2 linked regions of the Tamandua tetradactyla genome follow. The protein of the gene in region 2 binds, or shares a complex with, the protein of the main gene of each other region. Links are inferred from orthologs where the notes say so. Each region holds a gene or a part of one and is shown on either strand. Other genes may lie near its edges.

Region 1 (7,588 bases), on a different chromosome or scaffold from region 2:
CAAGTAAGAGAAGCCTAAGGCAGCGGCGTGCAGAGAAGAGGAGGGCACAGCACCATGAGGGGCCACGCCGGTGCCAGGGTTTTGCTTTTGACAGATACACTCTGCTGATGTGAGATACTAACTAAGGACGAGCGGGTGAAGTGGAGACAGGAACTCCCTGTGCCATTTTACAGCTCTCCTGCATTTTTAACAATTTTCCAAAATAAATAGTTCCCTAAAAAATGAAGAGTTTCTGTTCAGGAAATAATACCATAAATAGAGAAGCCACAAAACTGGAGAGTTTACAACACATGAAACCAGCAAAATATTAGTATCTAAAGTGTGTAAAGAATGCTTCCAAATCACTGAGACAAATGACCAACGTTTAAAAAATGCACACAAATCTTGGACAGTTATTTCACTGACAATCACATAAAAAGCTCAACCTCACTAAGAATCAGAGAGAAAAAGAGACACCCCACCCTATGACACAATTCCAAGTGTGGCGCGCTCTGGAGCAGCCGGGAGCTCAGGTGTGCTGTGTATGCATCTGCAGGGTCGCCAGGGTCAGCGATCTGGGGGTCACCGCAGAGGCCAGTGACGCACGTGCCCTCCGGCCACCTCCCTGTGCTGCAGACACAGCTGAGAATGCTCGCTAACATTTGTAACAAAAGCCAAACTAAAAACAACCCCAGTGTCCACCAATGGGAATTTGCACAGCAGAATATTATACAGCCGTGAAAAAGGAGCAAAGCCCAGGCACCTGCAGCAACTCCATGAACATCAGCAGAACAACCTGAGCAAGCAAACAGAAGAGCGTGCAGTTACAAACAATGAACATTTGATTCCAGTGACGTAAGGCTCGGAAGTTTGCAAAGTTAAACCATGTGTCATGAAATGACAAACTCGGTAAAACGATAAGGACAAGCAGGGCAATGAAAAACACAACTTGGAGCAGTTTTTCCTTCAGGGGGAGGGTGGTGAGATTTCCCAGAAGCACACTGCGACGGAAATCTTCCTTACCCAATCCTGGAACGACTGCTGCCTCTCCCTCCCTACAAATACCTAATTGATATTTAATAAATGCTTTAGAGACCTTCCAAGTAACACTCTATGTTATCAGTTTAGAATTATCATAGCTACTGAATCAGTGGGGTTTAGTTCTCACCACTTGAATTTTAAGGAAGATGAACTTAAGTACATTGCAAACCACTAATTTTTACCACAGCAAATATAATTATAACTCAAAATATATTCTGCCTGTGTTTTAAAGAATGCTTAACAGGTCAATATGATTCTGTGCTATTACTGGTCCTATGTCTTACATACAGCAGATATCTCAGAAAACTTCTCATGACCAAGAACTCAAACCAAATGACATAAACCATTTTCTTCAATTCTTACACTGTCATTTATTTTTTAGAGGAGCAGGTAAGAAATTTATTAGATACACATGTAAGAGGACACATGGGCACTGTCACAAGTAAGGAAAGATGGAGGGCAAGAGGCCCTTACACTGCGACTTTAAACAAACTTTAGATGATGATACAGAAGCCGCAGTATCTGACCACAGACAGGGTGGTGACCCTTTACCTGGAGGAAAAATCCCAGTGACTGACAGCAATATTTTTCCAGGTACAAAGTATATAAACGAAGCCCAGATGAGGCAAACAAAAAGTCAAAAACTGGTAGACATGCAAGGATCTGAATGAACCTGTGGGACATTTGGTGAGGTAAAATAAGCCAGAAACAAAAAAACAATTATTTTACGGTCTCATTTAGAAAATGCTTATAAAAAAACAGGGGCCTAGATTGTAAGCTCTCATAGCAGTCACATTTAGTCCAGAGTGGTAATTATTATTTCTGGATTTTGAGAGGTTGTTGTATATATGTATAAACTGGTATTCAGAGATAAGAATGAAGCCAACCAGGTAAGATAATTCAGAATACAGGGGTAAGGAAAACATTGTCTATATTTTATAGCCACACCTACTCTTTGAGACCAAAGGAAGAAAGGATTATTTTGTCCAGAATCTAAATGTTCTGTAGCACATAATCTAACTCAACCTGTGTAGATAGATCATTTAAACAATTCAGACACATGGGGCCCAGTATAAGAATGAGGGCTTTTAATCCTGTATAGCTCAATGTAATGCCTGGAAACATCTTAGAGGATACTAACCAGATAATCAAAAAGTGTTAGCAAAGTCCCCTGAGGGAGGGGAGAAAGACTATGAAACTATTAAACTTTACTATCAGGGAATCCCCGATACCGTGTCAAGCTTTAGGGACACCCAAATCAATAGGCCATGCCCTAAATCACGAGGCTCACCCTTATGAAGCTTGTGTAGGTAGTGGAGAAGCTTAGACTACCTATAGGATGCGTAAGAGTTACTTCTGGAGGACCTCTGTTGCTGCTCAGATGTGGCCTCAGTCTCTCTAAGCCTAACTCTGCAAGTGAAATCAGTGCCCTCCCCCTACGTGGGACATGACATCCAGGGGTGAAAGTCTCCCTGGCGGCATAGGAGATGACTTCCAGGGATGAATCCAGACCTGGTACTGTGGGATCAACAATTCCATCCTGACCAAAAGGGGGAAAAGAAGTGTATTTAATAAAGTATCAGTGGCAGACAGAGTTCAAATAGAGTCGAGAGGCTACTCTGGAGGTTGCTCTTACACAAGCTTCAGGTAGACCTTGCTACCTATTATAACCTGCCAACCCCCAACCAGGACCATTCCAGCCAATCCTAAAGAACACCTAGGGCATTATATGAGATTCTAGAAAGATTCCATGCTCTAGGGTAACTTTCCAGATGCCTACAACCTCCAGATGGGTCCCTGGACCAGACAAGTCCTGAAACCTAGCCCAGCCTCTCCAGAACATCAGACAGTTCCATCTCCCTACCCCATAGTATGGACCGCCTCTTCCAACATGAAAAAGTCAAAATGGGCAGAGCCCAAACACCCCTAAAGAGAGGGATGGAAAGATCGAAGGTGATAGTGGAGTTATACAGAGAAGGTCAGGTTTAACAAACTAATATGCTACTGAGTCATTGTATTGATGTTTCTTTTAGTCTCCAGTGTCTTAGAGCAGCTAGAAGTAAAACCTAAAATTGTGGAATTGTAACCCATGCCAAACCCTGAAATCTGCTCTACAATTAATTGTCATGAGTGCTTTGAAATTTATTGCTTTTTGTATATATGTTTTTCCACAAAAAGTCATTGGTGGGTGGTGCAGTGGTCGCTCAGTGGCAGAATTCTCATCTGCCATGCTGGAGACCCAGGTTTGAATTCCAGAGCCTGCCCATGCTAAAAAAAACAAAACAAAACAAAAGTCGATTGTGATGATAAACCATATTAATTCCTTCTAGCCTCCTATATTCTGGAGCAGCTAGAAGGAAAAATCTGAGAGGATAGTATGGTAGCCTGTGACAAACTCTGGGGTCTGTCCTACAATTTAAAAAGTTAAAAAAAAAAAAAAAAACTTGATAGAGTTGTAAATGTATTTAAGGTATCTGAAAAAAAATAGGAGTTAAAAAACAACGTCCAAGGTCGCGCTTTTGAACACTAGCTGCATGGGCCACCATCTCTGTGCACACTTCGCCCCTTATGAAGCTGCTTCCTGTTTGCTGGGGAGACGCTATCTCTGCTCCTGCTCTATACTGGGATACTAGCCCCTGGAGCCACCCAACTGGATTGAGGTGGGGAGAGGTGGGCAGAGCTGAGCTGGGGTCAGGGCAGGACCTGAGCAAGGGATCTGGGCTTGGGGAGTCCAAAAAGCAGGGTAGAGACTCCTTTGGGGCAAGTCAGGGAACGCTTCCTAGTGGAGGGGATTCTATTGCACTGGGCATTGCTGGATGAATAGGAGTTTGCCCGTGTTTTAGTTTCCCAGCTGCTAAAATAAATACCATACAAGGGTATGTTGTTGGCACAGGGTTTCAGAGCCTAGATTTGCTTCCTTCAGGGGCCGGTATCTTCTGGCTGCGTCCATCTTTCTGGTCCCTCCGTTTTTCTACCACATGGTGATGCATATGTCGGTTTCTTCTCCTTTCCCTTCTGGGTTCTGTGGACTTCCAGCCTCTAGCTGTTTCCTATGGGTCCTCTCTGCCTGAATTTCACTGGGTTTATAAAGGACCCCAGGAATAATCCAGATTAAAGCCCGCCCTGTGGAACAGCTTCAAGAGATCTTATTTACAACAGGTCCACACCCACCACGATGTGGGCACAGGTCCGCACTGGTTCACGGTTCACTCCACCTCGGGGGTCACACAAGGGGCGAGGGTGGGCGCCCCTGTGAGCCAGCCACAACTGGGAGAGAGCGAGGCAGCGACGCGGGGCCCCGAGTTCGCGGAGACAGAGCCACCGAGGCCAGGGAGAGAGAGAGAAATTGAGGCAGCCGGAGGAGGACAGACTGTCGGGGACAGGACGCCCCCCGCACCGCGCCGGGCCCTTTAACGCCCCCCCCCAGCCCGGCGGCCCTCCCCCCCCCCGTCCCCGCCCCCGCCCGCGTCGGCGCCGCGTCGGGAGCTGTCCGCGCCCCGGTGCTGAATCAAGATGGCCGGCGGCGGCCAGGTCCCGGCGGTGCCCCTGCCCAGCGGCAGCTGAGCCCGCCCCGAACCCCGCGCCCCAGCCGGCCCCGGCCGCCGCGACCCCGGAGCCATGTCTCTGCTGTGCGTTGGAGGTAGGAGGCGCGGCTGGGGCGGCGGCCCGCGTGGACGCGGACTGACTCCGGAGGCGCAGCCCGTAGAGAGGCGTGGGCTCGCGGGGTCCTGGTGGCCGCAGCCGGGGTTCGTGTGGCCACGGCTCAACGCGGAGGGCCGTGTGGACGCGGGCTGGGACCTGGGCTCCATCCGGTCTACACTCGGGGTCTGTGTAGACCGGGCTGTTAGGGAGTCGGCGTGGAGGGGGCAGGGTCGGGAGCTCCGGGGCATCCCGCGGGCGGCCGGGGGGTCCGGGCTGGGCGGGGCGCGGGGCCTCGGGATGCGGACGCGGCACACAGCCCGGTGTGGACGCGGGAGGGGTTCCGAGGCTGGGCACCGAAGATTTGGGCACGAGGGGGCTGGGGCATCTGGCAACCGCGCTCTGGGGTCCCCGAGGCCCAGGGTGTCCAGACCCCTCCCGGCGTCCACACCGGGCTGTGGTTCGGGACTGGGGGTGCTTTTCCGGTTAACCCTTTCGCCTCCCGAGGGGCTGCTGGGGCAACGGCCCGTCGCCCGCCCCTCCCCCTTCGCCGTCCCACGCGCAGGGAGCCGACCCCCCGCGGGCAGCGGCCCGGACGCTCCCCCGATCCTCCCTCACCCCCACCCTGCGCGGAGGGGCACAGATGGGGGCAGCTATTTTGGGGCCAGAACGCCATCTGCACCGAGGCCCACGCCCAGGCCTCGTTCCGCGTTGGGGGGCGGGGGGGGGCGGAGAGAGACGCGGAGGGGGTGACCCGCTCCGCCCTGTACTCGGGGGCCGCGGTGGGCGAGAGGCCCGCCCATCACGTGTTGAGGGCCCTCCTGCTGAGAGCTCAGGCTCTGAGAGACCTCTGGCAGCGGGGGGTGGGGGTGGGGTGCGGAGGAGGGGGGCGGGGGGCTGCGGACAGGCACCGGTCTTCCGAGGTCGGAACCTGGGTCTTGAGCGCGGGGCTCCGTCCCCCTTCCCTGCACCCCCTCACAAAGGCAGGGGCAGGGGTGGGGGGTGGGCCCAGCTTGAAACGTCCGGCTACGGGAGACCTTGGGCCGCGGGTGTGTACCGTGGGTTTGGGTGTTGGTGAGCGGAAGCCGCAGCTGTGCCAGGGCCCGGGAACCGCCCCCGGCGGCCCTCCCTCCCCCCCCCCCCCCCCCCCCGCCTGCTCCATTCACAAACCCGGCCCCCCCCAGCCCGCGGTGCCTTCGCGTGTGCAAATCGGGCCGCGCAGGGCCGGTGTGGACGCGGCTGTTCTTAAAGGGACAGAAGCCTCTGTGCTGCCCCCTGCGACTCCTTTCCCAGGCTTGCTCTGGCCGGGAGAGGCTGGGGGTGGGTAGGGGAAGGCGGCAAGATCCAAAGTCAGCGCACCCAGCTCCCAGCGTCCAGGCTCTGGGCAGCCTGTGGGGTTAGGGGGTGGGGGGTGGGGGGTGGGAGGGCCAGAGGCGACTCCCATTCAACCCCACCGTGTAGGCCTGAGGGGACTCCCCTCCTCTGTGTTGCTGAACCGCCAGGCACTTGGGGGTGTGGCTGGGGGGTGTCCCTGGTGGGTGCTCCTGGTGACCCCCCCCTCTGCTGCCCCCCCACCTCCCACCCTCCCATTTGGTCTTCTGAAGGTTCACCTGCTGGAGGCTGGGCAGGAATCTCATCCTGTGACGCAAAGGGAGGCGCTTGGGCTGTGGGGGGGCAGTGGGGGGCCCTGGGAGGGGGGAGCGGGGAAGGGGGTGGGTGGTGCTAGGATCTGTGGATCTGACCAGGAAGGAGTCAGTGGAGTCGGGGGTAAAGGGCTGAGGGTTAGGGGGAGGCGCTATGAAGACCCCTGGGGGAGACCAGGAAGGCAGGGGTGGTCTTGGTGGGGGAGGGGGCGGGAGTGGAGGAGGCCAGATGGTCTGCATGGGCGCTGAGCTCATACTTGGGGGTGAAGACAGCACCTGCCCCCCAGCCAGGACACCTCTTCCCCCCTGCACCGGGCGCCTGCACCTTCACCCCCACAATCCACAGGACACGCGAAGGTGCCACACACAGACTCACATGCCTGGGCTTGCACACGTGTGCACACATGGTCACACACAGGCCTCTGCATGCATGCAGGGTCCATGTATGCATGATGTGTGGGCCCTAACACACCCACCCCTCCCAAGAAACGTGTGTGCACAGCAGCACGCCTGGAGGCTGGACGCACCCCCCACACACACATGCCTGGGTGTGTCAGGAGCTGCTTCCAGGCCTCAGTCAAGCTACGGGCTCACCCACACCACACACTTGGCAGCACACCTGTGTGCACGTGTAGGCAACGAGCAATACACCTGGCATACAACCACGTAAGGCACTCACACCCCAGCACGTGGGTTTCTAGCGAACGCCTACCTGCCAGCCCCCACATTCCTGAGGCCACAGATGCCAGCACCTCCCAGGCAGCCACGCCCCCCACGCATGGCCTCACCTGCAGGCAGCCTCCCTGGACACACACCTGCCTGCCTGGCACCAGCACGCACAGCTCACCCTGTACACACCCGGCTTGTGTTCCCCCCCTGCCCCCCATTTCTCTGCCGTGTCCCGGCAGTGCCCTGAGGCTGTGAAGGCCCCCCAGACCCTTCCCGCATCCATTCCTGTTTATGCCAATGTTCAGGGCACACCTGCTGGCATCCAGCTGCTGGTATCAGCGGGGTGGGGAAGGCACAGGGCTGAGGGGGCAGGGGAGAGGCGGCCACCCCTGCTGTGTCTCAGATGAGGGAGAAACAGTGAGGCGAGGACGTGAGTGCTGAGGCCTGATGCGCCGCAGGCCCAGGGAGGCCGCATGGGGGTGATGGGTGCGGGCCTCAAAGCTCAGCCTCGGGCATCCGGCCCACGAGCCCGCCTTCTGTGGGCCTACCTAGCCTCTGGGCAGCCCAGTTCACAGACAGGGAATGGGGGCTGAGGGAGGCTCAAGAACTTTCCTGGA
Region 2 (7,157 bases):
CAAGGAAGTGAAACCAAGGATAGTATAGTCATGACCAGATAAATAGTCCCTAAAGCTTTATGAGAAATTACAATCATTAAAAGCTATTACTATTATTTTTCTCATATATTGTATGTTATTTAATACCCTATATTAATAATGTATTACATGCTGTTAATAAATTGCCAAATTCTTCAAAGCTATTTGTCTCTCACTATTATAATTCTATTACAAAGTCTGTATTCCACATCTCATTTTCCTTGCCTACTCGTATTTTATTACAAAAGCCAAAAGCATATTATAGAATGTTTAAAGTTAATATTTCAAGTGTATAATGCTTTAACTTCCTTCTTGTTAAATATATATAAAAATAATTTTGAAATTATAGGCCATATTGAGGTAAGTCCCCTTCTAAGATTAAGTTAGTTAGAAACTGAAATATTTATTTTAATTAAATCTGAATAGGCCTCTCATAAATGTATTGTATAAACTGCCTGAATACATGGTTAGGGAAGGTTGTTTCTGCTTAACTATGCAAATATGAATACACAAACATTAAATATATTTGCACACTATGTATGTTTACATATAGATGTAATATACACATATGTAGCTACATGAAAAAATCTTTCATAACAATTTATAATAAAATATACTGTTCATTTTATTTCTTAATTCAATACTCATCTTCATTTGAATTTCTGTATATTAGAAATGTACTATAGATACTCTAAAACCTTAATTCTTAAACCTTGGTAAACATTTAGAACAATAAACAGCTTTAGAGCTCTAGTAAACTAGCCAATAAATACTGAGTTAGCATACCATAAAGAAATAAAAACACATTTTATGTTTAATTATGTGTAAAAAATACAACTATATGAGCATCATTCTAACACTGATTTTTAGCAATTATAATAAAAAAGCATAAATCCAAATATCTAAACATCAAACTGTACGCTTCAAGAGCTTGTTAGAACATATAGTGAAGTTAAGCAGTGTTAGGAGTATGCTCAATAAGCTTTTAAAAACAATGCTTTACTCTCCCATTAGTTGAAATAGACTACTTAACTTCATTTTTTTCATATCTCAAGCCCACTAATAAATCACATCCCCAAAAAGGCATTCAAATCCAGAAATTAGATTTGAAGAATCAGTTCTTCATGATTTTGGTTAATGTCAGGAATGCATTTGCTCTTTTAGTTCCTCAATATCTTGTCAGAAATAGTATTTTTCTCTATGAACTACGTATATTTTATGTTATCATAAATTACCTAAATAATAATTTCATCAAAATGTGACAATATATATGTAGACATAGAGAGAATTGCTTCTGCATAAATGAATTAAAGAATACTGGATGCAACAACCTATTTTTTTTAATGTAAACGATTAGAGGTTAGTGTGTTAGCTCCTTCACAGAGGAGCTCTACACTTTCAATAGTGTGTACCTGTGGAGAATATGGAGGGAAAGCACGCAAACAAAAAAAGAAAGAAAACTGTCCCAACTTCGGCATATAAACTATAAATTATCTTAGAACCCATTTCACGTGAAAAAAAAAAAGGTGAATTGTAAAAACATAAAGAGGTTACACATCTTTTGCACGATCTCTTTCACACAGTGTCTGTGAGATCAAATAATCATAGAACTTTCAAAGCAAACGCTTTAAAAGAAATCTCTGCTACACTGACAAGGTGTCTCAAAGGGTATTTATCATCTTGTCTGGACAGTTCCCAGGTGCTGAAGTTACTCCGTCGCTAAACCAAAGCTTGGGTGCTGCTTTCAATCCTCCCAGCCTCTCTGCAAAATCACGGCGCCTAAACTATGAGCACATATAGCAGAACTTCAAAGCATCCCACAGTGAGGTAACGGTAGGACCTGGAGTCTCTTCAGGATTAAACAGATTTACTACTTGCAAACAGGAAGAGCAGCAGAGTGCAGGGTGTTAGACCCACCAAAGGGGAGGGGCTGGAAGATGGCGCCGGTCGCACACCCACCCGAGACGCAACTGAGCTTAGGCCCCTCGCCCGCCCGCGCCACCACCCTCTGGCCGGTCGCGACCGTGGGCAGATCTGCTCTTCCCTGAATTGGGGATAGAGCGGCCCTCCAAAGGCGCAGGACTAAAGGCCCCGGCAGCACCCGCCATCCCCTGGCCGGTGCGCCTTCGCCTGGGTCCCTGCCAGAAAGCACCTGTGCACGGCCATATTGGATTCCTTGCCCCAGTCACTGCCTCCGCGCGGAGGCGGTGGGGAAGAGTGAAGGGACGCGCGGAGCCTGGATTCAGACCCGGCCCCACTGGGGCCCCAGAGCCGAACTGACCCGGGAGGAAAGCTAGAAGAGCACTGGGAAAATTACAGCGCCCCAAGGCTCGCCATCCTCACCTAAGCCGGCCTTGGCGCCCTCCCTCCCCACACACCCACGCGCTCGGAGACCCAGAAAGCAGCCTGGGTGGCCGGAGGCGGCCGCAACCATCGTAGTCCCCGCGCTACCGGCAGGCGGGGAGGGCGGCGATCCACCGCGCGCTGGCGGCCGCAGGAGAGCGGCCGAAGGGGCGGAGGGCAGGTGGGAGGCGGGAAGATGGAGCCAGGTCCTTACTTGAGCACGGACTGCTCTTTCTCCTCTTCTTTCTTCTGCCGGTCCATGACTGCCAGGATGATTTTCCTCTCCTCCTCCGTGAGGTGGCTGAGGTCGGGCATCTCGGGCTGCAGAGGCTGCTGAAAGGCTGCAGGGGTGGGAGCCTGGCGGCCCCGGGGCCCGAGAGGAGCCGACATGTTTGGTGGAGCCAAACCACCCTAGGGAAACAGGGAGGCAACTCCACTAGCGGCGGCACCGGCGCGGGTGGCTGGAGCAGCCTCCAGCGCTGGGACACATACAAATTAATGGCCTTTCAATCCGAGGCGACAGCCCTCCTTCCTCAAGAAAGAAAGAGCGAAGGGAGGAGAAAATGGGGGGAGGAGAGAGCTAAGGAGTGCGCTTCGGGAAATGTTGCTTCTTCTCGGGAGCCGAGGGCTGGCAAGTGAGCGGTTCCGGGAAGAGAGGAGCGGGAGGCCGGGCCGAGACTGGAGTGCGCGGAACGGCGGGGGAGGGTGGTGGAGTAAGGTGGCGGGGACAGCTGAGGGTGGGGTGACTGGAGGGAGCGGGCAGGAGGGCGGCGCGCGGGCCGGGCGCTAGTGTGTCTGACCGCGGGGGTGGGGGGCCGTGCGCTTCGCCTCTGAAGGGAAAGGGGCGGCTGCGATCCAGGCTCCCGGAGGGAGTTCCGGGAATTCGCAGAGTGCTCGAGGAGCACGAAGGAAGGAGCAAGGAGGAGTGAGGAAGCAGGGATGAATTTCCCAGAGAAGCAGCTCTGCTGTCCCGCCAGCTGGCGCGTCACAGGACTGACTCCTCAGCCCCAGGGGGGAGGACCCCTCAGGTAGCTACCGGGAGACGGAAGCGGGGCGGGAGACTAGCGTTTGGAGCCGAGAGGTGAAAGCAGAGAAGGAGATCAGACTGGGGTTAGCGGCGGAGGGTTCCTGGGGCCAGGGCCCCTTGGCTGCCAGCGCTCGGGTCCTAAAACGCTTCGAAGCGTGGCAGCAGGATCGGACGCTGGTCCCTCCTTGTCACGCGCCCGCCCGGGGCCCTCAGAAGCTGCCGCCGCCGCCACCGCCGCGGCTCGGTGCCTTCGCCTGCGCCACCTCAGTCCCTCCGCCTCCCCAGCTCCTCCCGTTCTGGCCGCGTCACCTCCCAGCAGCCCAGGCCCGGGCACGATGAGCGCCCCAAGGGTGGCGGCCACCCCTCGGGTGCGCGACAGCTGGGCTGGGGCCGGGCGGGAAGAAGTTGGTCAGGAGAGCGTAAATGAGGGGCGTGGGGTGGGAGGAGGGAGGTGGGGAAGAGAGGAAGTGCCCGAGCTTTTTAGGGCGGGGCATGAATACTGTGAGTGAAAGAGCGAAGCCCGAGGTGTTGGTAGTCAGGGGAAGAGAGTGAGGCGGCGGCGGGGAGGAGGGAGGGAATGCGGATGAGGGGTGTGGCTGCGGCGTCAAGCCCAGATGGCAAAGAGTATGAACGTTGGGGAGGGAGATAAATGGGGAGGGCCGGGTGTCAGGTCTGGAGATCAGTGGGGAATTGGGGGTAGGAGGGAGAGGGGAACTACTGGGGATGTTAGGTCCGGAGTGTGAGCCTGAGGGAGCTGCTCCCAAGGTTTCGGAAAGAGAAATAGAGTGTAAGCTGGGGGAGGGGGGGGGGGGGAATGGGGAGGGCAGGGGTCGCCCGGATGTCTGGCTCCTAGTTAAAAGAGTGTGGGGGGCGGCGCGGGTTGTCGAGGAGGGCTTGGGGTAGGGGGTGGGGGGTGAGAGGTGGGAGGTGGGGGGCGTGAGGGCCCATCTGAGGGGAGATGGAGACAGATGTGCGTGAATGAGTACTGAGCACAGGTGGCGTCGCGGGCCTGGGGCGGGGAAGTAAGGAAGTTCTGAAAAACTGAAGGCAAGTGGTACTGGAGAGAGCCTGGAGAAGTGGAGAGGTGACACTGGGAGAGTCAGAGTGTGTCTGAGAGGTGTGTGAGAAAGGGAGGTGACTGAGGGCTGTGAGGGTGAAAGAACGAAGGATCATAGGGAGGCTAAGGAGCCGGTTTTTGGGCGGAGGACTTCTGTCTGTTTGGCTTCTTTTGACCCTCAGTCTAGCCTAAAGAGAAAAAGGCAGAAGAGAGGAGGGTTAGAGTCGGAGTCTGATTTTCGAAGCATGTATGTTCAGTGAAAGAGGACCCGGTAGAAGGAAAACCAGCCCCAGGAGAACCGCAGTGACCACCGCCGCCGCCTTCTGCTCTCGACTGGGCTCTGCCGCCCTGACACGGCTCCTGGTGGGGGCAGGGCAGGGAGAGGCCGGAGAAAGGATGAGGGGAGACGATGCAAGACGCGCCACGAAGCAAATTGCCGGCGATCACTCCCTCCTCTTGGCACTGGCAGCACGCTCTGGGGAGGAGAAGCTGGGCTCCTCCCACACACACTAAGTACCAGGCCAGTTGCGGTCTGATGAGTAGTGTAAAGCCTTTGGGGTTTGTATTATATTTACCTCGGTGTGTAGTAAGTGCTCTCCCTGGGTACCACGGGTCCCAATTTAAGAGTGCTTGGGACAGGCCAAGCAGCCCTAGAAGTTGCTTATGATTTCTAAGCTTACATTTATATTTTCCTTTCCTACCATGCCTTGTAATTAGGAAGAAGGAGAAGAGAAAACTGAAGTGCAATTTTTATTATTATTGTTATTCACCTGCATGAAACCAAGACTGCAAGATGCAAATAAGTCCGTTTTCATCTCTTTGGAGCTTTGCAAACTAGATGAGAGCAGATGAATGCCAATGTAATTTTGTTATTGAGTTAGAAAATCTTTGTAAATCACTAATCCAACCTCAATCATCCTATGAGAAATTAAGAACCAAGGTAAGACAGCTAGTAAATGGTAGACCTGGAACTAGAATCTAAATATTTTTACTCCAAGTTGAAACCATGGTGGTTTTCAACCCTGACTGCACATTAGAATTACCTGGATTACTTTTTTAAAATACCATCCAGGCCTAACTCTAGATCAGATGAACCAATCTCTGGGATTGGGACCCTGGCTGTAGCTTTACTTCAACATTCCCCAAATGACTAGCAAGGGTTGAGGGCTACATGTGCACTACATAGATAATGGAGGGGTAAATCACAACTGAGAAGTAGAAAACAAGCAAAAAGTACACTTCCAGAGATAACAGATATTTTTTTTTACTTTAAATTACAGTATTGGAATTTCACAGTACTATTCACTTTCCTCTCATATGCAGTAAGAGGTACCAGTGAATACACATACCTATGATTTTAGCTTGGGAAACCCGAAGTGCCACTAAAATACACTATTTGTGCCTTTCAAAGAGAGAAGAGCAGAACTAGAAATAAGCAAAAAGAATGGATGGAACACATTACCTTATTCAACTATTTCTGAGCCATATTTGAAGAAATAACCCTGTCTTCCACCTCCAGCCAACTAACAACTCAAGCAGAACCACAAGCTAAAATGCACACACTACTCAAAGGCTTGATGTGCTAAAATAGCTTAATTATTCTGAGTAAATAAAATGAGAATTTAAAAGTGGTTGTCCAAATTGGACAATTAGGGCTTCTTTTACAGAAGAGAGTCACCCCCTAGACGCTACACTATTTTATACCAATCACATAGTTGGTGGTGTCTCCCTGCACCCCCATTGCCTCTCAGGTTCCTAGAGACAGTACCAGCATATGAAATACATTGTGCATGAGCAGGTATCATTAAGACACCTAACTTCTTACAATACTGCAGGAGAAATGAGTGAGCTTGGCGTACCGTTTGTTTTTACAGTCTTTACTACAGCTAGATGTATTTTCCCTATTAAAGGGAATCCCTAGAAGTGGAAGTATCTTAAAATCATCTTCCACACTGATTTACACACCTTTCCAAAATAAAACTTAGTCACAGTATTTGTATATTACATAGAATATATATTACAGAATTTTTAAATGGGCTACTTTTTAATGCAATCACCCCAGTTCAACATAAGATTGCCATGTAAGACCTATAGAAAGTAAAATTCCTTCAAAGATATCTTTCAATCTTTCCACATAATGGATCTTGGAGATGTTTTTTGTTTTCCCCAAATTTAGTGTTATGTTTAACACATCTCACTGTATCCTGTGTTGCATTATATTTCACTTGGGCATGTCCCCAAATGTATAAACACATTTGAAGTTGAGTTGAAACTATAGTATTCTCATTTAACTTTAGAAGTAACTGGACACCTTTATCATTGAATTCCCAAGGTCTTCCTGACAAGCCATAAACTAATCCCAAAATGAAGGTCCTTTCTGCAGTTCCTGTCAGCTAGTAAAGCCTGTGAATCTGTGACTTTCATTTTTCAGATGAATAACAGCTACTTACTTGTAATCTACTAAAGTTATTAGGAGGTTATATTAGTTAGGGTTCTGTAGAGAAACAGAATCAACAGGGAACACTCACAAATATAAATTTATAAAAGTGTCTCACGTGACCACAGGAATGCAGAGTCCAAAATCTGCAGGGCAGGCTGTGAAGTCAACAATTCCGATGGAGAGTCTGGACAAACTCCACAGGAGAGGCTCGCCAGCCGAAGCAGAAAGAGCCTGTCTCTTCTGAATCCTCCTTAAAAGGCTTCCAGTGATTA

What was found. Proteins that work in one complex are often made in the same cells at the same time.
Region 1: the proteins of RIMS2 (region 2) and UNC13A are in contact, whole or in part, in a crystal structure (PDB 2CJS), measured with the Rattus norvegicus proteins. The link is inferred for Tamandua tetradactyla from reciprocal best matches to the Homo sapiens genes RIMS2 and UNC13A. Residues at the interface, in XP_063118965.1 of Rattus norvegicus: Asp102, Gly103, Cys104, Ser109, Gln112, Val123, Leu125, Ser127, Asn128, Lys129, Val134, Met135, Trp136; in NP_074052.2 of Rattus norvegicus: Tyr23, Ile36, Trp65, Leu69, Ile70, Trp71, Asp72, Thr73, Met74.

Annotation. Positions count from the first base shown.
Region 1 is NC_135337.1:96,494,171-96,501,758, forward strand, and holds the start of UNC13A (protein unc-13 homolog A), read left to right. Parts: upstream 1-4,564; 5' UTR 4,565-4,638; coding exon 4,639-4,660; intron 4,661-7,588. UniProt on the Homo sapiens protein: Plays a role in vesicle maturation during exocytosis as a target of the diacylglycerol second messenger pathway.
Region 2 is NC_135332.1:148,155,727-148,162,883, reverse strand, and holds the start of RIMS2 (regulating synaptic membrane exocytosis protein 2), read right to left. Parts: upstream 3,040-7,157; 5' UTR 2,752-3,039; coding exon 2,576-2,751; intron 1-2,575. UniProt on the Homo sapiens protein: Rab effector involved in exocytosis. May act as scaffold protein. Plays a role in dendrite formation by melanocytes.